Linked DNA regions of Alligator mississippiensis. The protein of the gene in region 1 purifies or fractionates together with the protein of each later gene. This does not show direct contact. Links are inferred from orthologs where the notes say so. Each region holds a gene or a part of one and is shown in the gene's direction. Other genes may lie near its edges.

Evidence for each region. The genes of interacting proteins can lie anywhere in the genome.
Region 2: the proteins of DDB2 (region 1) and COPS8 purify together in Homo sapiens (affinity purification with mass spectrometry; 6 studies listed by BioGRID and IntAct, counting the BioPlex papers as one, with this or other methods). This does not show direct contact. The link is inferred for Alligator mississippiensis from reciprocal best matches to the Homo sapiens genes DDB2 and COPS8.
Region 3: the proteins of DDB2 (region 1) and XPC purify together in Homo sapiens (affinity purification with western blotting; 5 studies listed by BioGRID and IntAct, with this or other methods). This does not show direct contact. The link is inferred for Alligator mississippiensis from reciprocal best matches to the Homo sapiens genes DDB2 and XPC.

Annotation. Positions count from the first base shown.
Region 1 is NC_081825.1:227,870,133-227,878,195, forward strand, and holds the start of DDB2 (DNA damage-binding protein 2), read left to right. Parts: upstream 1-4,467; 5' UTR 4,468-4,584; coding exon 4,585-4,645; intron 4,646-4,933; exon of another isoform or gene 4,934-4,994; coding exon of another isoform or gene 4,995-5,007; intron 5,008-5,223; exon of another isoform or gene 5,224-5,328; intron 5,329-6,900; coding exon 6,901-7,080; intron 7,081-8,063.
Region 2 is NC_081827.1:186,157,288-186,165,720, forward strand, and holds the start of COPS8 (COP9 signalosome complex subunit 8), read left to right. Parts: upstream 1-4,839; 5' UTR 4,840-4,941; coding exon 4,942-5,019; intron 5,020-8,433. UniProt on the Homo sapiens protein: Component of the COP9 signalosome complex (CSN), a complex involved in various cellular and developmental processes.
Region 3 is NC_081835.1:16,881,314-16,889,149, forward strand, and holds the start of XPC (DNA repair protein complementing XP-C cells), read left to right. Parts: upstream 1-4,242; 5' UTR 4,243-4,275; coding exon 4,276-4,351; intron 4,352-4,780; exon of another isoform or gene 4,781-4,863; intron 4,864-4,952; exon of another isoform or gene 4,953-5,084; intron 5,085-6,848; coding exon 6,849-7,056; intron 7,057-7,636; coding exon 7,637-7,764; intron 7,765-7,836. Other genes in the region: U6 snRNA-associated Sm-like protein LSm3, read right to left, coding at 3,605-3,715, 4,008-4,028. UniProt on the Homo sapiens protein: Involved in global genome nucleotide excision repair (GG-NER) by acting as damage sensing and DNA-binding factor component of the XPC complex. Has only a low DNA repair activity by itself which is stimulated by RAD23B and RAD23A.

The DNA of each region.
Region 1 (8,063 bases):
TCGTGCATTAGCAGATGTATCAGATCAAGGGAGGTGATGCTCCCCTTCTATGCGGTACTGGTCAGGCCACAGTTGGAGTACTGTGTCCAGTTTTGGGCACCGCACTTCAAGAGGGACACAGAGAATCTGGAGAGGGTTCAGAGGAAGGCCCCTCGCATGATTAGTGGCCTTCGTGAAAGACCCTATGAGGGGCGGTTGTGGGATCTGGATCTCTTCAGCCTCCACAAGAGACATCTGAGGGAACCTTGGAACTAGGAACCTTGTAGCTGCCTATAAGTTTATCAACAGAGGACAATGGGGAATTGAAGATGCACAATTTACCAGAGCACCCCTAGGAGTAACTAGGAATAATGAATGCAAACTAGTGAAGAGAAGATTCAGGTTGGACATTAGGAAGACATTTTTTACAGTAAGGGTGGCCAGAATCTGGAATGGGCTTCCAAGAGAGGTGGTACTATCACCTAACTTGTAGGTCTTCAAGAGGAGGCTTGATAGACACCTGGCTGGGGTCATCTGACCTTGGTCCTCTTTCCTGCCAGGGGCAGGGGGTCAGACATGATGATCCTTTGTGGTCCCTTCTGAATCTATTAATTAAAGCACAAGTGTAGACCTGCCCGCTGTGTCTTCCCACCAAAGTTTCCATTTCTAAACCAGAGTTTGGCCATGATTCAGCATGAAGTTAAGGGAGTGAAAGGTCCATGCTGGGCCATTTTCCTGTCACTTGCTTCTAAATTATTAGAGGATCAAACACCAGGATCAGTTATGGACTCACAATGACATTTATTCAATCAAAGTAGAAAGGGAAGATTGAAACCCCCACAGAAGGCAGGCAGGAAGGAAAGATCACTCGTAGCACTGACAAATCCACTCCATGACTGTTGGGCCTGGTTATTCAGAGTGTATTCTGGGACCATTTGTTTTTTAATTGCTTCCAGTTCCTGGGGAGCAAAAGTGATGAAGCACCCAATGCCCTTCTGAGATCTGAAGCCTTACTCCAGAAAACATAAGCAGATGAGTGAGAGGAAAGACTAATCAGTGTGTTCATATTGTAATGAAGGCAAGAGGAAAGAAACTAGTAGACCTCTGTAACATAATGTGATGCTCCACCATAGTTCATGTCACTTTCAATACATTAGTTCAATTAACAATTCGAAGTGTGAAAAAGGAAAAATCTCAGCAGTCAGAGGCAGATATTGTGTATCCAGCAACTGCCCAAGACAAAGTTTCATACCATGTGTGAGGTTTAGTCTCCTGTTTCTGTCTCTGAGTCACTGATGTCATGCTATGTTCTCTCTAATGTGTCTTTCCTTTCCTCTGGGAGGAAGGTGTGGCTCATAAAGGACAGAGTGTCCAGGTAAAGAAGGAGATAAGTAGATAATGTTACCTTCTTTCTCTCAGGGCAGGGGCAGCTTGATGGGAAAGATCTTGGGATAGGAGGAGGTTCAGTTTTGCTAGGGTTACGCAGTTTTTTTCCCTAATGTTTTTGGTTTGTTGGAATTCTTAATTGCTTCCATGTCCTGGTGAGAATCAAGTTGCTCAGATGTTACACTCTTTAAAATTACAAGAATAAGTACAAACTAATATAGTCCAAGAAAGCAAAACCTTCCATTAGCAAAGATCCAGGCACTGTGAAGCAAAAGGCCCAATTACCTCTACATATACCACCAAATCAGGACCCTCCCTTATAATATTGCTACCCTCAAAGTACAGAAAGGGCTTCAGTCATGTTCCAGATACTTTAACCCTGTCCAAGCAGAATGAAGTGTTAGACATGTCTAAAATTGTGATTGCTACTGGGCCTGTGACTTGTTTGAATTTATACCATCACTGGGACCCAGTAATACAAGTAATAACATTATTATATTAAAATTATTCTTTCCTGTTGTCTTCTGACTGCATAAGGGTTTCTCAAAAGCTTTTATCTTTCAGGTCTGTTTCTTTCTGTGACTTGCACAACATCCAGCACAGTTGGCTCTTAACAAATTATGTAAGAATGGTAATTGCCAAGGTACCTGTTGAGTTTCCAAAGGGAAAATCAGGACAGTGTTAGTGTTTGATTTAAAAAAAAGCCCCTCATGTTTGTTTAAAGATTAATTAATCACTTCCACTCTAGTTAGGTGGAAAGTCCATAGGTTACTGTGCCTAATCTCTTCTGGGCCACTTTCCGGTTAACACCTCAGGAAGGTGAGCAGGATAGGAAAAGGGAGTTTCACATCTTAGCTGGAAACAACTTTCTGCAAAGTTAGCACAACAGGATCACAGTTTGTTCTTTACTTTGGGACTGTTTCATATTCCATTGAAGTCAATGGGAATTTTTCCATCTCATCCCTACCTTTTCAGTGGAAAGGTAAGAATCTATATTTTTTTAATTCTGAGGAAAACAGTAGAGGTTAAGATGGAAGTAATATAATCAGTACTTTTTGCTATCTATTATTTAACTTTACAGGTTCCTCTTTCCTTTGTAGTCTCTAGGAAACTGTGAATACTGCTGAACACACTTCCCTTTCCTGTATACAGTAAGAAGTCTTTTCCCCCCGTTAGGTTCCTGAGGGATCTAGTTTAACAGGTCCTCGGGATTTCATGAGTCTTGTATCCTGATGACAGATGCTAGTTTGAATGATTATGAATTGATTCAGCACTGAAAAGGATGCTGTGTTTTGGGTTTTTTTTTTGCAGAAGATGATTGAAAATTATGTGCAGAGGCTGACATATACAATAATGTAGTGGGAGCTAAGTGTTTTCCATGGGTGGGTATAGTTTTTCCCCACCTAATAAGTTGCTATATCCAATATGTTATGTTTGTCATATAGGGTGTAAGTGACTGATGCAACATTATTATATTCCAGTAGGAAGAAAAATATTTTTATCTATACATAGGTGTCCATTGCAGCAATAGTATCTTTTGAGAACTGCACACACAGATATCGTAGGATTTGTATGTATAAGCTGGTGGTAGGGATGACTATTCTGAATGGTTATAGGAGTAGCATGTTAAGGACCCACCAAGGTGCAGTGCAAAGTAGTGATAGCTTAGGTCTGTTTTATCCTCCATTGCTGCATGTTGTAAAGTACCAGTTATCAGTTCAGAGACCAGAGAATCCTAATGGTCTCTGAAGTGATCTTGCAACTTGAATTTGAGCTAGACTGCATCTTGTATTTCTTGAATTTGCTTTAGCTACATTCTAAATGCATGTTTTTCCTTGATCTCTAATATGCAGCTGCAACTTCTTGTGGATGTTTCTAACATTTTTCAATTTATGTAGTACAGTTCTTGGTTACTATAAAGCCCTTTTTGGACCTCACCAGACATCTATTATTAGTGTTGTTGTTGTTTAGGTTTAGGTGACACAAACTTCACAAATCAACAGGCTTAACAGGTCTGGATAAACATGGTTCCCTTGTAGTAGTGTGGCAGTTGACTCTGAATTAATATACCTTACTCCTTCCCTCCCTACTTCTGCCTGGCTTAGACCATAGTTTCTCAACTTGTGGTACACATACCCCTGGCAGTACACAAGACACAGGCAAGGGGTATGCAGGTACCCCAACACTATCTCTTTCTCACCTTCTTTTCCTCTCTCTCTCTCTCTCTTTCTTTCTCTCCCCATCTTCCTCTCTCTCTTGCCCCTTCCTGCTCTCAAAACTATGGCAAAAAAATTGGAATAAAAAAAATTGGAATAAACTCCCCAATAATAATTTGGCATGCCATGCTTTGTGCGGCACTGGGTTCAGCCTTCCTAGCTTTGGCCAACATCACCTCTAGCCCAGGTACATACTTGAGTTGTGCACCCCTGGTGTAAAAGGTGGCAACCCTACCCACACCAGATCAGACATCTGTCATATCATGGCCTTATATACACAGCCCTTCTTCCAACACGTTAGTCTGCAAATATAAAATCCCTGGGAAAATTGAGTGTTGGGGTACTCATTAAAATTTTCAGCAGTCAGGGGATACTTGCTACTTAAAAGGTTGAAAATCACTGGCTTAGACTACAAGCAGAGACTGTTTTTGAAAACAACCCTAGAAAGTAGTCTTGTGAGGGTCAGATAGCTCTGTGTGGGAACACTAACTGAAGCCCATACCGACATCACAAAATTATATCCTATGCACCCGTTTATCACTCAAACAAAAAATAAAACCGATAAACAAGGTTGTCTAGGAAACCTACATTTAAGAACCTGATAAATTGTTATCAAATGATATGTCAGAAGCTTTCTGTAAACTTCTGTGTGTGACCAAACTGGTCTTCACATATAGGCCTAGGACAGTGATTCTCAGTCAGGGTGCCACGTATCCTGGGGTGCCTTAGATCCTTTCAAGGGTGCCACGGGGCACCACACAACGTTAGTACTGTTAGATATGCAAACACGATCCACAAAATAAACCCAGAGATTTCAACTAGGAATCCGAAGTGTTAAAATCATTCTGCCCAGGTGTGGTCTTTGTTAGTTCTTTTCAATGGCAGAACAGCTCTCTCTCTCTTATTTTTCTGTAGTTATAAAAAACAAGGGAAAAATGGCCACTGGTATTTGCCAAGAGATGCCTTGAGGCTATCAGGGTTGAGAACCACCAGCTTAGAAAACATGTTTGATAACAGGCTGCTTTGCTGGCCTCCTTTTCCTGTCGAGATTTGGGGCTGTCCAGGTAAGCATTATTGTGGCAGGGACAAAACCTTGCTACTTTCTCTTTGATTTCTCTCCCTAACACAGCTGCCACGGGGGTGCTTGTCAGCGCAGCTGCCTCAGTGACGCTGCAGAGTTAAGACTTCACTTTTTAAGGGACGACTTCTTGTCTTCAGCAAGAGCCAGAGCCTTCCCATGCCTGGTCATGGTCCATCTTCACAGTCCTGCCAAGAGTCACACAGATGTTGGGCACTGCGCTCCCTGCTGAGGCGAGAGGGCTGGCGTAACCCCCCCTGGGCTTCCAGCTTGGCTGCTTAAATGAATCCTTGCTCACGTGAGCCCAAAGCAGTGGCCGCAGAGCTGGCTCGTGCATGACAGTCTTAGGTAGAGGTTTGGATGTACAGTTGGGATAGGGCTGAGCCTGCCTCAGGCACGGGGGGCTGGACGAGACGACCTGGAGGCCCCTTCCAGCCCGGCTTCTCCGTGACGAGGAAGGACGGGCCCTGGGCCGTGCAGGGGAGCCAGGAGGCCCTTCGCAGAGGGCGGCGCTGCAGCAGGCGGAGGCGTAGCCCGGCGCGTCGGGGCCTGTTTCCTGCGCAGCCTCACGCGGCAGCCCCGGCCCGCGGCTAGAGCGAGGCCGGGCGGGGAGGCGGGGAGGGCGCGCTGCAGCCGGGCGGGCGGGGAGCGGAGGCCGCGGGAGCCCAGGTGAGGGCCGCGGGGAGGGTGGTGCCGGGGCTCTGGCTGGTCGCGGCCCCCCGCCCGGGGCGCCAGGGCCCGGGGCAGGTGGATGCGGCGTAGCTGGGGCGCCGTCACTGCCTCCCGTGCGGTCCTCGGGCAGCGCCCCGGGGTGCCAGGGGTCCCTTTCCAGGCTGCGCCAGCGCCGTGCACCCCATAAGCCCAGAGACGCCCCTGGGGCCCGCAGCTCTGTCATGCTTCCGGCCTCCAAAAAAGCAAGTGAAAGCCAAGAGCTGGCACTTTTCAAGGGGGCCTCAAAGGTTTCGAGGCGCTGGCGCTGGGAAGCGTATGGGCAGGTGGGGCTGGGCCATCCCTTCCCTGGAGTTGATTTGGTGCCAACCAGACTGGCCCTCAGATGCCGGCACTGGAATAGCCTCCAGGGCTGTGGGTAGGGGTGGCCATCATAGAGGACAGTCTGGTTATCCTGTGTTCTCTGTTGGTACAAAACCAGATGCCTTTATGTCCTCTGTTTTTTCTCTTGAAGAGAAAAAGAGAGGGCATGAAGGCGTCCGGTTCCGTATCAATAGTGGACAGAGTAGCAGAAAGCCGGAACGTCCTCTGTGACGGCCACCCCAGCTGCGGGTGAGGATGGGCAGACGGCAGCAAGGCTGTGCAGGCGTGCTGGATAGGCTGGGTGCTGCCAGAGCTACGTCAAGCCCTGTCTGGGAAAGGTAGAGGGTGCGCCAAGCCAGTTCGGGGATGCTATATGAGGAAGCTTGCTTGTTGCCCACCTAACGCCATTTGGCGCTAGAGAGTTGTTGGTGACATTCATTCACAAATTAAAAATAAAACAGCCTGTTACAGTATCAGCTAGTTTCCATGGAGGGTACTTGAGATTTGCTGCTGACGTTTTCTGCTTCGTACGCTCCTATACTAGACCAAGGAGGAAGGCTGAGTAGGAGGCTCTCCACTTTGGACGGAAAGGATCACTTTGAAAACCTAGTTCAGAGCGTTACAACGTGGGGTCAAATTAATTCTGTCCCAACATCTCTTTGTAAATGATCCAGAAAAGCATGAAGTCTTCCAGTATTTGCTGTGTCACTACAGCATCTAGAAGCATGATCTAAGAGTCCAGGAGAGTTGATTGCATGTGTTCAGAAGCTATTTTTCAATGACAGTGCTTGATGAGGCCGTGTTCTAATTAAGCCACAAAAGCACTTGGCCTTTTCCCTAGCTGAGCCTGACCAGAGATATCATGAAGTAACAAGGGCTTCTGCAAAGACTAGTGTTGCATTTTAAAGTTGCACAAATGTGCTTCGTCCGGATTAGTAAATTTTAAACTCGGTTATTTTGTAAAAACAGATTTGCTAGAACAGATAACCCAGTGCTTTAAGAGCCACACATTTTCACAGAGGCACAAAGTGCAGTTTATTGAACCGTGTTTCCTCCTCACATCATTGGATGCAAAAAGCCAGCGCTGCAGTGATGAAGGGTAGCACAAGCATAGCCTCATAATCAGGGCACATTACACTGCAGTTCTCTTTTTTAGCCATAAGCAGTGACAATTACAGCTTCCTTACTTTGTTTGCTTTTTCTGCTCAGACAGAATGGTCCCTGCCAACCAGCCGAAGGAAAAGAAGCACATGAAGGCTCATGAGCATCAGCCAGAGGAAGAGGCAAAGTCAGCTGAGAAAAGGAAACGAGAATCTGGAGAACTAGAGAATGAGCCACAAGCAAAGAGACTGTTTGTGAGAAAAGCTATGAAACCCCCAGAGAATACAGGTATATCTCCCTTGGGCTCTCATTTTCTTTTTTGCCCACAAGGCCTAATTTGAACAAACTATCAGCCAAATCTTCAGATAGCTGGCATAGGAAGATATCAAGGAGCCAACAACTTGTTCAGACAGGAGCATTGGGATTGGCTTATGTTTCTACATGAGGGGTGGATAATATAAATATTTTTCCCCCAGTAATCTGTTTAGAGACTGCAGTGAGCTTGCACATATAGCATTTTCTTGAAAGTCACAGCTCATCACTATAAAATGGGGCTCAAGGAAGTTTACATAGATTTAGCTTTGTGAAATTTTTGAATGGCTGAATTTTTGCTTCCTTGTAGGCAGGCAATCCTGGTAATAGTTTTTTTTTCATGTTAATTCCTCACACTGTTTCATAACTGACAGGTTAGTAATACACACCATGCTATTTACACCAGCCTTTCCACCTGGATATCATGCTGCAGCCAACAGTAAGCTGTTTCATAGAGCTGGGTGCCAGTTCTAGCCAGGTGCTACATTTTTCTGCCGCTATTCTTTAAGGTCCTGTCCAGAGAAACAAGGGCTAATTCTTTTGTGTTGATATTCAGTGATCAGTCCCAGGAACCTTTGTAGACTTGCATTAAGGACTCTGTGTCTCTATACATTCAGGGCTGTCACTCTTAAGCTATATTTTGCTTATGGGATCTCCAGAGATATTTATTTTTCTAGAATGTTTGCAAGACATCCATTCTAGGAACTCAGAAATGATTGAAGAAGAACAGCTCCTTTAATATCTATTGGGTGGTACCCTGAGCAATACAATAGTGCTGGCAAGTGCTTTTCTGCTTTACCTATGCTTCATTTGCCCCAGTTTCTCTGGTGTATGAATAAAGCCTCTAGAGTATGCAGTAATACAAGCTGTGGAAACTAGAGGTAAATGTTCTGCTTAGTATGTTTGTGGGGTTTTATTATAGTTTAATTTTTTTTTAATAGGTTCAGGTCCAGTTTTCA
Region 2 (8,433 bases), on another chromosome or scaffold:
TCTGCCGGGGGCACTGGATGGAGCAGGTGGGCAGAGTCTCCATGGAGACCAGCCTGAGACCCCAGCAGGCAGGGTACGCTTAGCTGGGCGGAAGGGATGGGGCAGCAGGTGGGTGAGGAGCAGCGTCCGGTACCGGGATGGGCAGGCAGGGCTGGGATCGTGTGGCAGTGACAGAACAGGGCCAGGGCCCAGGGCAGAGCCACAATCCACTACCTGCATGTCCCTGCCCATGGAACCGGCACTTGTTGCAGGGACATGTGGAAAGCAGATCACAGTTCTACCCCAGACCTAGCCCTGTGCTGTCATGGCCCTGTGATCCTGGTCCCGCCTGTCCATCCCACTCCCATGCACAGCTCCCTGCCCCCAGTACTAGGCAGAGTGCACCCTGTCCATGGCCTCATCTGGTGCCCCTGGCAGTGGGTGTGGGAAAAATGGACCTGGACCTGAATAGGATCAATTCCTCACCCCAACTGCACCAGACTGAGTCAGCACCTACCCTCCCTCTGTCAGCCTACAATAAACAGCTCACGAAAACTCCTTATGTAGCTCTCCAGCCCAAATAATTGCCCACCCTTACCTTAGAACAGACTGTCCTAGCCAAAAGCAGCTATGGGAATGAATGCAGGCTGCTGCTGTGTCCAAGTCACTCACTGTACATCTATTTCCTACACAGAGACCTCAACTTTGACCTGCATGGAAATCAAGGTATGCTCATTTACACCAGCTTAGAACTCCTAATCAGTATTGGTAAAATACTGTCAGCTGCCTGAGCCACCAATTCAGGAAAGCATGTAAGCATACAAAGTCAAGTGTATCCAAGCAGGCAAGTGCTTTCCTGAACTGAGACAAAATAGGACAGGCTGTGACCTTATTAAAGCATAAGGTGGTGACTGAAGGCCTGATACAAACCCCACTGATATCGATGACTCCCCTTAACTGGATCAGAAGGACCATATCCTTCTCTAAAAATAGTGGGTGTTTGGAAATGCTACTGAGGTGAGGAAAAACATGTTTTGATATATTTGAATTTCAAAGCAGCTTCTTTATGGGAAGCACCCACTGTACTGAGCTGAGGAAAACAAAGAGCAAGACAGATCAAGTTGGAAACTAGAGATGAGGAATGTGAAAGCCAGGTCAGCATTTGCTTAGAAATACCATGGAGTAGCATGTGAATAGGGCAGAGGATAAGAGACAGTACAGCAGTGCCACCACCTGGGAGAAAGAGAGGGTGGCAATAAAATAGAATTTATAAAGAAATTCCAACACAACTCCAACTTTCCCATTAAACAAAAGCAGTGACTGATGGATAGAAATATACTTAATCCTCCAGCATAACTAACCTTCTAGAAGGGCTGTGATGAAGCAAAACATGAGGAGCTTCAGATGTATGAGGTGTTGTCGCTGTAACTTTTTCAGGACAGTCACAGGCTCTGGTGTTGCAAACAGTTTCATATGTGCTTTATGTCTTAGCAGGACTGGGATTTAAAGACTTAGGGCATTTGTACACAGTGCAGCGTTTGATCCTCATTAATTTACCAGGCCTTAAAAATTTTAACCTGAGTTATTTTGGTGCATCATGTTTGTGTTTGCACGCCATGGGCTTTCAAATGACTTAAGTCCCATTGCCGCAAATTCCAGTAAGGGGAGACAAATACCAATCTACCTCTAGTAATTAGGGCTGTGTGAAACACCACTGTTCTGTTTCGACTTGTGTTTTGATGTTTCAACGGAACAGCGTTTCCTTTCGAATTTCACTTCAATTCAAAACTGCTGTTTCGTTTTGTGTAAACGGTTTTGCTGTTTTGACGCTGTTTCGAAGTTTTGCCCATAGGCTATAATGGGGAAGGTTAAAACAGCCTATAACTTTGTCATTTCTAGCCTGATTTGGATGAAACTTGCAGGAATGGTAGCCCCTTCTAAGGGCATGAAGCCTGCCAAGCTTCAAGGAGATAGATGCAGGGGTTTATGGGAAACCGCACCTCAAGCTGCAGACAAGCAAAACTTGTGACATGGGTGACACTGTGTGTGTTAAGGCGCAGCAGGCTGAAAACTGCAGGCATGCTAGACCCTGACGAGGTCATGAAGCCTGCCAGCTTTCAAGGAGATAAGTTCAGGGACTTCTGGGTTCTGGGGCCCTGCACCCCTAGCTGCTGACAGGCAAAACTCGTGACATGCATGGGTGACACTGTGTATGTGTGTTAAGCTGCGCCCTCACTCGACTGACACCAAGGCAGAAAACAGGGCAGTTCAAACAATGCTGCCTTCTTTGCAGTTTTTCTATCCCTCCCCAGAGCACTGGGATTGGAAGGGACCTCAGGAAAGGATGACATTCACTGGCCAGCTACACAGTCAATAATGAGAGCGCTCCTTCCCCTCTCTACCCTCTCCCTCCCCTTACTTTAGTTTCTGTTTCCCTGCAGGCAAGCCCAGCTTGAGCTTCGAAACTCAAAACGTTTTGAAAATTTTGAAACGTTTTGACTTGTCTTGTTTTGTTTTGAGGCTGTTTTGAAGCTCTCTTTTTCATTTCGATGTTGCTGTTTTGAGCTCAAAACTAGTCGAAACTGTCAAAATGAAACTGCCGGCGAAATTTCGCACAGCCCTACTAGTAATGTCTTTTCTAATGAGTTACAGCAGGAGGCGCCTGTTTGTGCCAGTAAACTGGGCTCCCTGCACAGTCCTCAGCCCTCTACCTCCCACTGGGAGTCTCATGCTAAGCCCCCCACCCCACTGCAGGACACAGTCACCCCAAAACCCTGCCTTTTGCACCCGCTTAGGCTCCAGCTGGTCTCCCAGTAGGCAACCTCATGGTGATCCCGTCGACAAGCCTTGTGAATCATCTCCCTTTTCCTTCCCCCCATGTTACAAAGTAATGATCATTTATATATATGATTTTTTTTTACTATATAGCTGATATGATATCAGAAATGTACAGGGTTGAAAGGAGCGGGTAGGTGGTGCCACCCTGAGTGGTTGGCAATTGTAGCTGATGGTGGTGGTGAGGTGGACAATGTTTCGTGTTGTGTTGCCGAAGCAGATGTGGATCGACATCTAATGTGGAAACTGTTTGCAAATACTCTTTGCCTTTCAGTACTAGGCCTCATGCTTATAGTTTAGGTGATGAATCACACTGGCAGTAGAGCAGAAGCGGAAGTTAGACGTGTTGAAAGATTTTAGGAGGGATATGAAGGAGGAAAGCAAAAATCCTAGCACAGGGGAGCTGTGAGCACACTTCCAGCACAGAGAGCAGCAGTGAAGTATGGCTTCTACCTTCTTCTGGTCAGTCTTTTCCTACACAGCAGCCTGATCAAGTTCTTGCACAGCGTGGAGTCACGTTAGTAGCATTCTGCATATAAGCAATAGCCTCCAATGTTACAGGTTTGCTGCTATAGAGATGCTAGAAGAGCCCTGATCAGTAGTGACACAGCATTTGCTGAGAGATGTAATGCATGTCTATATGTGCACTTTAATGCACATTAGCTTATTTTAATGTGCATTAAAGTGTCATAAAAAGTGCTCTTTAACTAATACACATTAAAATAGTCTAATGTACGGTTTTCTAGTACCTCACAATGGAGGGTGCCTGTACCTAAACTGGGAGGCTGTTTTGCCATGCTGTAATTACAGTGCATTGGAGCAGACTTGATTAATCGAGTCTGCTCCAGCCAGCCTCCACCTCTCATGTGTCAGCGTCCCTGCACTTCAAAACTTCAAGCTCATTGAACCAGCTTTAAAGGACCCCCACCACCATTTTGGAGCGCAGGGACTCTGATCAATGAGAAGTTCTGGGCTCTTTAATTAGAGTGGCTCTGGAAGCTACTCTAATGAAAGCGCTCCCCTCTCCCTCTCCCCGATCCCACAGCATGTGTAAAAATGGCCAGAGATACTAGATTTAATAAGCGTGGCCTAAAATGCATTTATGAACACACAGACGCACCTTTAGTTAGCCACATTAGTCTGAAGTCAATTAAAAGGAAGGGTGGATTTCCACCTTATAGACTGACCAAAGTGTGTGTGTGTGTGTGTGTGTGTGTGTGTGTGTGTGTGTGTGTGTGTGTGTGTGTGTGTGTGTGTGTGTGTGTGTTGCCATCAGAAAAAAAAGAAAGCCCAGTAGGCACGTGCTACTGAAAGTATCTGATGAAACGAGCTTTGACTCACCAAAGCTGGAAGGGGGATACACGTGTCTGTGTCTATGGGTGTAATTAGTCACCAAAGCTCATGCTATACACGTTTATTGTAGTTTTTTCTGTGGGATATAAGAAAATAATGTTTTCTGTTTCCAAGGCTGAAATACAAACTTCACACTGGTTTTAGTGAATCTTGGAACATTTTAATATGGCAGCAAAGCTCTGTGATGTCTGACGGACTCCACTGACAATCTACCTACAGCTGTGGAGCCTCAGTTTTAATCTAGCCTCCTTTCGTCAAATTTGGCGATTTCGTTTTGAATCATTTCTGTCTCTTTTGTCCTTTGCAGCTGGATTCAGGTCAGCAAGACTTGTACCGTACGTGCATTTGGGGGCGGGGTGGAGAGGGGCGCTCTATGTACTGCTTTGGTTAGTCACCAAAGTTTGTGATAGATAGATAGATAGATAGATAGATACGTGTTCTACTTGACCTTCCCAAATAAAGTCAGCCAGGCAGACGAGAAGCGCCCGCCAGCCCCGCTGGAATCTCCCCACAGCTTCCGTCGACCCAGGTGAGCAGCCAGAGGAGCGGGGCGAGGCGGGGCGGGGCTGGCAGCTGCGCCATTGGCTCGCAGTGCGGTCCCGCCCCCTCCCGGAGCGTTCCTCCCTCCAAGTCTCGAGTCCTCCTAAGCAGCCGAGGGGTGGCAAGAGCGGCTCTGCGACACGGTTCCCACTCCTCGCCAGTGGTGTGGGAGGAAGTGACGCGAGCTCTGGGCCGGAAGCGGCGGGCGGCTGTGGCGCCTGCCCGGGCAGGAAGATGCCAGTGGCGGTGATGGCGGAAAACGCCTTCAGCTTCAGGAAGCTGCTGGAGCAGTGCGAGACGCAGGAGCTGGAGGTAGCGGCGGGGCCAGGAGGGGCAGCAGCCGCTCCCCTTCCGCACGGGGTCGCGCCCGGCTCGGGGGGTCGCGCTGGGCCCCTGGGGCTTCAGGTCCCGCTGCCGGTGGCGCGCGCGGGGCGGAGCCGATGCTAAAAGGGGCGGGGCTGCCCCACGTTCGCCGCCGCCTGCCGCGAACGGTCCAAACCGGCCGGGCAGGGGGAGCAGCGGATCGGACGTGGGACACGGGGCAGGGAGCGGGGCAGAAACGAGCTGATCGGACATGAGCTAGTGAAGGGGAAACAACAGAGCAGCAGACTGGACCTGGGAGATAGGGCAGGGAAGAGAAAGAGGGGCAGGTTGGAGGTGTGACACGGGGCGGGAGTAGAAAGCAGAGTAGCCGATCGGACACGGGACAAGGCATAGAGCAGAAAGCAGAGCATCACATCAGACATGGGACACAAGGCAAGGAGCAGAACGTAAAGCAGATGGTTGGACTTGAGTGCATGGAGCAGAAAGCAGAGCAGCAGATCGGACATGAAACAGGGCAGGGAGAAGGAAGCAGAGCAGCAGATTGGATCTGCAAGACAACAGAGAGAGTAGCAGATTGAATTTAGGACACAGCAGGGAGCAGAAACCAGAGCAGAGCCATTTTCCTTCCTAGGTGGATGGCTGGTCAGTTGTGGGAACTTGTATGGGCCCCTTCCACTTCTTGGGTACGGACATGTATAGCAGTTTGTGCTCTTGTTTAAATTTCACTGGGATCAGGAACAGAGACGAAGTTATCCATCCTGGGTTTGCAGGTGGCCTCTGCTGCACTTGGAGAAGGTTGGAGCTGGTGGAGCAGGCAGTAGCTTATTTGTCTCTAGCAGTGGGGACAGGCACCACATAAACCTGTCAGGTTTACTACGTCTTCTTTCAGGGGTAGTTCTCTACTGAGTAAAGTTACCCCCATCCTCCTTTGCCATTTGTATTGTGTTTTAACTTTGATGTGATGCTGATATTACCAGAGAGAACATTTTGTGTCTGTCTGCTGGTTTTTCCAATGTCTGTGAGCTAGGAGTGCATAGATAAAGATTTTTTGGGGGCTGCTACCTGTTGGGGTGACTGTATTTGGATCTTGGGGAGTACTGGATTTGCAGCTGAATAAAGGCTTTAATCTGTGGCTTACAAAAGCTGCTGACCACAAGGCAGAATGGTGTATTAAAAGTAACATTGTGAGATGCTTAAGCAAGTAGTTTTCTGACCATATAGTAGTGTTGTAGGATATGTAACTCCTTTATATAAAAGAAACAGGATGCAAGCCACCGGCTGTCATTAGGAGATAGAGCAGATTTTGCTTATGAATGCTTATGCTAAGCCATCCATTTGCTTATGTGAATTAACCATCTTAACTGTGTGAACCATTCTTCTGAAAAAGCAGCAAGTAAGTCTGTGTGTTGCGAATGAGGTAATGTAAAGATGGTACAATATGGGACTGAAAAACAGACTGAAATGTGAAAGATGACATATCATTGGTAACAGAATCTGAAATAAACATATGTGAAAAGGTGAATGGTGATTGGTAAAGAAGCTTCCAGGTTTTGGCTGAAGTCAGCCCAGTGACCGAAAGAAGTGGAGTCAAGGTCTTAGTCGTGTGTTCATAGCAAAAAGACATGTAAATAAGTGAAATGCATAGACAATTCCATGCTAATGAAGTAAATGGTAAACAAAGGCAGAGCTTGAGATGGGAGGGACAAAGGTGGAGTAAATATTAATAAGTATAAACCAAAGTGTATAAATATGGAAAAAAACGTATGTTCACTGCTGCTCCCCAGTTTCTTTGGAAGCTTGCCCGAAGCTGTCTGCATTTTGAATAAAGCTGTTGCGAGCAATATGTGCTGGTGTTTGCTGCCTGCTTGTTCTGGCTAATGAGCAGCTGGATCCATGAGCAATTGGATAGTTGTCTCCCTAGTCGTTGGGAGCCGCATGGAGCCGGGATCTAACAATACCGATGGCTGATTTATTAACGAGCCATATCAGCCAATACCAGTCCAATTGCCAAGATGCAGCCTAGCAGCTTGGAGAGCACCGTCTGGCTGGTAAGTCTGTTGGGGGGGAGGGGAGATCAAGGTCCCCCTTGGTGACGGAGGGAGTGGGGCTGGGCAGGAGCAGGCACTGCACAGCCGTGGTGGGGCAGGGCATGGGACAGAGCCGCGGCTCATCCAGGCGGTGCAGGGGGAACAGCTTCCGTCACTGTGTGCACCCCTGGGGGAGCATGGGGGGAGTGGGGGATAGGGCCTGGGCTGTGCTCAGGGTAGGCAGGGACAGGGTGGATGGCAGCTGTGCTGGGAGGGGGGCTATGGCAAAGGGTGACTGTAGCCCATCCCATAGTCCTCCTCCCAGCACTGCTGCTGCCCACCCTGTGCGCAGCCCAGGCTCAGCCTCCCACTTCCCACTGGGAAGAGCCCAGTGGATCCCCGGCCCTGAGCATGCAGCAGCCTGCCCTCGCTCTGCACACAGATCTGGGGGGCTCATGCCTCTTCCAAGGTTGCATGCAGTGGTGGAAACCATCCCCCCCCTCCCTGCCCCCCACACGCCTTCTGGACGAGCCGTGGCTCCAGCCCACACCTCGCCCCACCCCAGTTGTGCAGCCCCTGCCCCGCTTCCTCCCTCGCTGTGGGGGCTTGATCTGCCTCTCTCATGCCCCTTCCCCCCCACAGGCGGGCTAGACGCTTGTCTCCAAGCTGCTGGGCTGCACTCGTGGCTGCATGCACGCTGCGGCTGTGCACATGCACGCAGGCATTTATCAGCTACATTATTGGCCATGTAGCCAAAAGAAATCTAGTAATGTCAGTTTCCTTTTTATCGGTGCCGACTTACAATATGGACCGATTGATCAGGGCACCTCCATTGCGAGCGCTGTTTTAGTTTGTGAGCTCTTCAGGACACGGACTCCATCTTTTGGGATGTTCATATATAGTGCCTAGCACAGTAGAGCCCCAATTTCTGTTGGGTCTTGCTAAAAATATTTCCTTCCAGGGTGGTTTCAATACAGTGTTCTGTAGCTTTCAGCTAGTGAGTATCTAACTGCTTCCTACTTGAAATCTGCACATCCCTCTCTAGATGCTTGCAAAGAGGTCCAATTCTCTTTTCTTTCCCTTCTCATTCAGAGTACATTGGCTGCTGCGAAGATGGTAGTCTCCACTAATACATCTTTCCTTGGTCTGTGTTTTTAATCCTAGTCCTCACTGTTTCTAGTTCCTGTCTCTTGCAGTGATGTGAAAGTCTTGTCAGTTTCTCTTGTGCACCTAGTGATCTAAGTAGCAGCCAAGGAAGGTAGAAAGACTAGTTGGCTTTAATTTTGAAGACCCTTGATACAGCTCTGTGTCGGCCTCTCTCTCTCTCATATAGACCATGAGTCCTTAGGAGTTGTTGGAAACCAACATGATGTAG
Region 3 (7,836 bases), on another chromosome or scaffold:
GCATGGTGGTTCTCAACTGGGTACTGCTGCTGAAAGATAACTTCCCTGTGCACCTGCTGCACAGCCAGACCAAGAAAGGCTGTGGCATGCGTGCACACACCTTCTACACTGGTGTTCTCAAATAATCCTAAAGCAGACAGAAGAGCTGGCTTGTAGGCCTGTGCGAAGCGGCTAGTATTCACTTCAGATTCGTCTAACTTGGGGGACAGCGATTCGAATCACTGTCCTGAATCTGATTTGGAGACTCGGCTGCTGCCAAATCTCCAAATCACACAGGCCCCAACCCCCGCCTGCTCTTAATGGCTGCCCTGCCCACCCCAGCTCCCAGCACTTTGGAAAAAAAAAAAAAAATGAAGCCCCGACTCACTGTGTGCTGCTGGGTGGGGGGATCCCCACTGCCCCCCACTGCACGAGGGGCTCTGTCACAAGCCCCTCAACCTCCCCACATGGACCAGCTCCTGGCCCTTGAAGAAAAAAAACCCAAACAATAAAACCCTGGACTCACCAGGTGCTTCCCAGTGGAGTGAGATCCCCCTGCCCCGCACTGCCCTGTGCTGGGGGGGGGGGGGGACGGACGGCTCTGCGCAAGCTTGCTGCAGGAGATGGTGAGTCTGGGGGTTTATTTTTTTGATTTTTTTCTTAAAGGGCCAGAACTGGGGTGGGTAGAGCAGCTTGGGGGGGGGGGGGGGAAACAGGAGGGCTCGTGGCAGAACCCCCCCATGCAGCATGGGGCAGTGGGGGGCAGGAGGGATTGCCCCCCTGCTGAACAGCACCCAGCAAGTAGGGGCTTTTTTTTAAAAGCACTGGGAGATGGGGCTGGGGGGAGCAGGCAGGGGATGAGGCCTGGCAGGGGTCCCCCTATGGGTCCCCCCATCTTGTCCAGCCCCCACTCCCCCAGCCCCTACTTACCAGCATGGAGTCCAGGTCCAGATACCTGCTGCAGGGGGTGCGGACTGCCTGAATCACCGAACCTCTCTGAATCTTTTCTGAATTGATTCAGAGAGCTTCGAATAGATTTGGACCTTTTAATTGGTCCCGATTTGATTTGGATTCGGAGATTTGGCTACCGAATTGGGCCAAATCTCCTCTGAATCAAATCAGTACCCAAAACTTTGCGCAGCCCTATTGGATTGTGCTGCAGCCATTCTAGGTCTGCCACTGCACAATATCTCCCAGGAAGAGTCAGGTGGGACAGTGGAGCTGTCATGCATGCCTCTGATTTTTGGCATGTCAGGGGATTGAGGTTGGGGTTAACTGGGATGGGCTACAGCACAAGCTGACCCTGCTGTCTCCTTTACAGTTATTAGAGAACCCTAACGCAGGAAGGATGTGCACTACATGCAGGGCAGTTTTACTGGATCACTTGTTTACAGCACTCCCTGAAAAAAATCTCATGGCAGCCTGAGGAACTGTGCTATCCTGGTTGACAATCACTGCTCTGAATTATCACATTGTTAGAACATCTGGTATGGAAAGCAGGAGTAAGTTCTTTTGCAAAGGGGGGAAATATGCCACCTTTCAGATGTTTCTAATCACAAGATATGATTGTGCTGCGTGCCAGGTGCAAAAATTGCCATACAACTTTAAATCAGTGGGAAGCCAACTTTTTGGCTGAAGTGTCACATGGTAAGCCCACAAGGTTCCTTGGGTGAATTTGATATCTTTTATTAGACCAACCCAAATGGTAAGCCCTGCACCCTCCCAGTCCGTCACTCTAATTCCCTTCTTCTGCCTGCTCTACTTTCTGCCCTATCTGCCACCGTGTTCTCTTTTGCCTCCCTGATCTCCTGTGCCTCATAGATGCAGCGTATGCCACTTACAACATGCATGTCAAAAGACGCCGACCCCTAAATTAAGATCATAATTTAGTTTATGGTAACCTGCATGCAGCACTACAGACAAGTTCACCATTACAACAGAAATGAAGGCATCATCTGTCTCTAATACTACCTACTGAACCAGCCTTCACCAGCCTGCAGAATAGAAGACCAAGGGGAATTTGATAACAGCCTTCAAATACCCAAGTCATGACTATAGAAATGATGGAGATGGGGTTTCTCTGTAACTATAGGGGAAAGAGACTAGGTGCAATGACTTCAAACTACGGCAAGGGAAATTTAGGTTGGAGATTAGGAGGAACCTTCCGATTATGAGGGTGGTCAAGCATTGGAACAGGCTACCTAGAGAAGCTGTGGAATCTCTGTCCTTGGAAGTTTTTGAGAGAAAGTCGGAAAGGCACTTGGCTGGGATGGTTTAGTCAGGGGCAATCCTACCCTGAGCAGGGGCTGGACTAGACAACCTCAAGAGGTTCCTTGCAGCCCAACTGACCTCTGATCCCAAGTATTTCCACAGATCTGGATAATGGGATGGAGCTGGTGTCATCTGCATACTCAAGCTGCGGGGAGTAGTAGATATGCCGGAGGGTAGGGCTAGGATTCAGAGAGACCTTGACAAATTGGAGGATTGGACCAAAGTAAATCTCATGAAGTTCAATAAAGACAAGTGCAAAACCCTGCACTTAGAATGGAATAATCCTATGCACCAGGACAGGCTAGGGGCTGACTGGACAAGCAGCAGCTCTGCAAAAAAGGACCTGTGGGTTATAGCAGACAATAGGCTGAATATGAGCCAACAGCGTACCCTTGTTGAAAAGAATGCTAACATTAGTGGGAGCACTGCCAGCACATCAAGGGAAGTGATTATTCCCCTGTATTCAGCACTGGTAAGGCCACATGTGGAGTACTGTGTTCAGTTTTGGGCCCCCAATACAGAAAGGATACGGCCAAATCGGAGAGTCCAGTGGAGGGCAACAAAATGGACAGGGGGCCGGAGAGCATGATTTATAAGGAAAGGCTGAGGGAACTGGGCTTATTTAGTCTAGAGAAGAGAAGACTGAGAGGGGACTTAATAGCAGCATTCAATTCCCTGAAGGGTGGGACTGCAGAGGATGGAGCTGGACTGTTCTCAGTGGTGACACATGACAGAACAAGAAACAACGGGCATTTATACACATACTTTTTCATGCTGCCACGCACCACAGATCCAGTGCATCAGAGCAGATTAATCGACTTAATTAACTGAGTCTGCTCTGCACACGAGCTGATGCACACCGCACTGCGTCATCTGCAGTTGTATAAATGGCAAAATGCACACCAGCACGGAGGAAATGGCAGCGGCGTGCATTTGAATGAAAACACCTTTGATGTGTTTTAGTTCAAAAGTGGACCACCGCCATTTTCCACGCTCTGACGCGCACTTCACCACTTACCCAACCGCATGCATTGCAGCATCACGTGCTTTTCAAAGCGCCCGGCGCTGTGGCACATGCATGGGTAAAAATGCCCGACGGTTTCAAGTTGCAGCAAGGGAGATTTAGGTTGGATATTAGGAAAAAGTCCCTCACTAGGAGGGTAGTAAAGCACAGGAACAGATCACCAAGAGTTGTGGAAGCTCCAGCCTTGGAGGTTTTTAAGACCTGACTAGACAAAGCCTTGGCGGGGGTGATCTAGCTGAGGCTGGTCCTGCTTTGAGCAGGGGTTGGACTAGATGCGACCTCCTGAGCTCCCTTCCAACCCTTATTTACGATTCTGTGATCTTCGCTTACATGTAATCTCCCTCTGAGCTCTCGATCGTTCCTCATTTTCACGTAGATTCGCTCATCTAGACTGAGCCTGATGAGATCCAGCGGCTCCTCTACGGTATTGGTTGTCTGTTGCTGAGAAAAAAACGAGGCGGTTCCTATTACAAGCATGAAACCCCCTGGACGTTGCGTGTGCTAATCCCCGGGGCTCGCAGGCAGAGACAGGGCGAGGACACTGCTGTTGTGTCACAGACACCCCGATCAAGCCAGCGTCCACCAGAAGCGGCAACTTGAGCAAACGGGGCATAATCCCCCGAGGGCCTGGCAGCCTGCGCCCGCCCCACCAGCACTAGCGTCCCAGCGCTCAGGCCTCGCCAGCGCGGCCGAGACACGGATGACACGAGCCGGCTCGGGGAAAGCGCCTCACCTGGTCCACCTCGTCCGCCATCTTTCAAACGAACTCTCGCGAGATCCCACGAACCCGCCTTCCACATCCCGCGGGGCTGGGGGCGTGATGACGTCACGCGTCGCGCGAGGGGAGAGGGCGTGGCCTGTCTCCCCGCGAGCCCTCAGTGTTCGCAGCTGTGAAATGGGCACCGCTCACCTCAAGGGGGCGGGTGTCTCACGGGAGGGGGGCGGGGTGCTGGGGCCGGAAGGGACGTCAGGTGGGCGGGGCTGGGAGCCGGCGCTGCGGCATGGGGAGAAAGCGCCGCGGGGTCCCGGCGCGGGAGGCCGCCAGCAAGAGGCCTAAGCCCCCGCGCGGGTCGGACGGTGAGTGCGGCGGCGGCGGCCCGGCTGGAGGCCCCGGGATCGCGGACCGTGAAGCCGGGCTCGGTGCCGGGGCGGTGAGACGTTAACTCGGGTGTGGAAATGACTGACAGCAAAGCACCAGAGCCCGACACGGCTGGATCTTGTTATATAACTGAGTGACAGACATGCCTTTCACTCTTGATGACCTCAGCACTGACGATACGATACCCTTTGACTATTTTGGGTTTTTTTTTAAGTTTTATATATGCTCTAGAAAACTCACGCGCACTCCAATAGTTATAGTTGTTTTTTGCTCTAATAGTATAGTGCCCCCCCCCCCCCCTTAGCATATTAATAAAGCGTCAAGTTTCTTTTTTGACCGGAGGGGGAAAAAAAATGTGAGTTGCATTTAGGGAAGTTTAGGTAGGATATTAGGAAAAGCTTTCGCAAGGAGGGTAGAAAAGCACCGGCACAGGTTACCCGGAGCGGTCGTGAAGAGGGAGCGTGGTGCCGTAACGTTTCCACACAGACGGGTGAGGTCCTGGATCCCAGGCATCAAATATAAAGCGTTTCCTAGTTTCTAGGGTCTGAAGGGATCTGAACGGATCACGAAGTCCGACCCCCTGCCCTGGGCTCCTAGGGGCGAGCGCTGGGATCGTTGCACAACAGATTGACCCAGAAGCCGTAGTACAGCGCTTTCGTGTGGGTGGCCTTAACTTGCACATTTGGCTGTGGAAGGAGCTGGAAGAAATTGGTAAATAGAGAAAGACTGGTCTCTCCTAAAAGAAGAAGGGAAAGTTGTGGGGATGCTCATGGATCAAAAAAACAAACAGCTCCAGGAACTGAGTGCTAGCATCCAAGAAAGTACTGCAGACAACCGGTGGGATAACCTGACCCATCGGATCTTCATCCAAGGATTTACATTATTACAGCCCTTTGCTCATTGTATTATTGATTCAAATTACAGTTACTTGTATTATACTTTGGTTATATCTGTCTGTAAAACGGTGGAAGCAACAAATGAATGAACAACCTGCCTTGTTATAATGGAAGGAAAAGAAGTAGAAGGATAGTGGTGTAGTTTTAGTTTCAATTTCTATCCTTGGAGATTTTTTCATAGATTTCATGGACGTTAGGGCTGGAAGGGACCTCGGCAGATCACCTGTCTAGACAAAGCCCTGACTGGGACGATCTAGTTGGGGATGGTCCTGTTGTGAGCAGGAGGTTGGACTAGCTCAGTGTTTCTCTACCTATATGGGTTGTGACCCAAAAGTGGGTAGCAAGAATATGAGAGAGGGTCTTGAACAAACTTTAAAAATGGATCAACAAAATGGATTCTCCTTTAAAGGAATAAAATGTGGGAAACGGTGGCTTTTCTCTTGCAGGTTGTCAGAGTTCCCGCCTGCAGCGGGCTGCTTGGAGCCCCCCATGCCCCACACATATGCCCTATGCCCCATGCCCCACGCCCCACACATATGCCCCACATGTATCACTCCTGCCCCACACACTGGGGAGCTGGCGGCAGAAAGCAGTCGGTCAGGAGTGAGGGGCACTGGGTCGGGACTGGCCATCAATGTTTACAAATGGGTCTTTGTACAAAAAAAGGTTGAGAACCACTGGACTAGATAACCTCCTGAGGTCCCTTCCAACCCTAATTTTCTGTGATCCTATGATATGATGTTCTACACCATCTGCACCCTTCTTTTCAAAATCCTAGATTTGCCCGTGGATACCAGGGGGGATATTGAATGCCAGCGGGGTGTAGATTGCTCTAGAGCTATCTAAGTGAATGCTCTCTCCCTCTATGGTAGTGTAAGAGTGATGTTGTAACTATGATGATCCAGAAATAATGCAAGAGGCAAGGATTTCATAGGGTGAGATCTTTGATTGGACCAACTATGGAGTTGGGATGAAAATAAGCAAGCTTTCACATGTAAGACCTGAGAAAAATATCTTACATGTGAAAACTTGTCTAACTTTATCTCAACTACATTAGGCCATAATCTGAAAGGTAGGTAAGCCTGCTATGTTGCATGAAACCAGATCGATTTCATACGTGTAAGATCTATCCAATTCATCATAGTAGTACATAGACGCAGCAGGTTAAGAAAGCAGCTTGCTGTTGCTTCAGGAGACTCTTGAGAAAAGGGGTTATTTAAATCAAACTTGCAAAAATTCCACTTGCCTAGAGATTTTTTTTTATGCAGTAGATGCTTCAATATGCAGTACTGAAGCAAGAATATTTGCTTTTTTTTTGTCATCATTGGAAAAGACCCAGGAATAAATCTTTTGTCTTCTGAGCTGAACTTTCCTTATAATTTTATTTCACACGTGCTTTTTGATTTAATGCTACCCATTTGTTTTAAGGATATCCTTAAAGGCAGTTTGTTCGCTCTTAGCCTGCATTTTTTGCTCCATAGAAACTCGGCCCCATTGACGTCAGTAGGTGTTTTATGGTTGATTTCAAGAGAGCCAGGATTTTGCTCCATAACACTTCTTTCCCTCTGTTCCAATTTAGATGACTTTGAAGAGGAAAAGCCTATTTTGAAGAGGAGTGTCTCAAAGGCCCTCAGTGGAAAGAAGAAGAAGAAAGAAGATGGTGACACTAGAGTTTACAGTCCAGCAACTAGAGCTACAAGCCAAAAAGAATCAAAGTCAAGAGGAAAGGGGAAAAATAACAAAGCTATAAAAAATGAAGGAAATCCTAAAGAGGAGGAAATGTGCAGGTAAGTTAACTGACTGCATCAATACAACTATTACATGTCCATTGCTAAACATGTTTACTTAACACCCAGTTCAACAAACCTCATATAGGAGAAATTTACTTCTGCTGTTTGGTACCATTCTGTTCATCATAGCTTCACATATGAGCCAAATTACTTGTGTGCATGTTCATGGGATCAAGTGTATGGAACTGAATGGGGGTGGAAAGCGTTTGAGGCTTTTCCAAGCTTAATGTGTATTTTAATTTCAGAAGGAAGTTGTTAAGGACTTAAGACCCCCCAAATTATAGTTTTTTTTTTAAATTGGAGGCATTTTATAATGCAACATAAACAGACTTAAAAATGCCAGTGAAATATTTTGTGTTTATCATCCATGTATTGCTTGCAAAGATTGTGTCCATGCTGGTATTTGTGGTTTAGGTTTTAAGTATATTCTAAGCTTTTGCAGCTGTTGTTATTGATAACGTTGTCATATTACATGTGTTCCTCTAATTAGTACAGACATTGTCCTCCCTCCACATTTTAAACAAACAAGATGATATAACCCACAACTTTGAAGTTTTTTTTTGTGCAACCTTTATAGTGGTTTACCAAGCCCCTCTGGGAACGGGAAGAGTTTGAAGAGAGAATCCACTGTTAAAAAAGAGATGGATGAAAACAATGATGGCAGCAATGATGATGAAAGTGAGGATGAATGGGAGGATGTGGAAGGTACGAATCTTTCAACATGGCCTTATCAACTATCAGACATTCTTTGGGATAGTTTAACTGATTCTGGCTGCT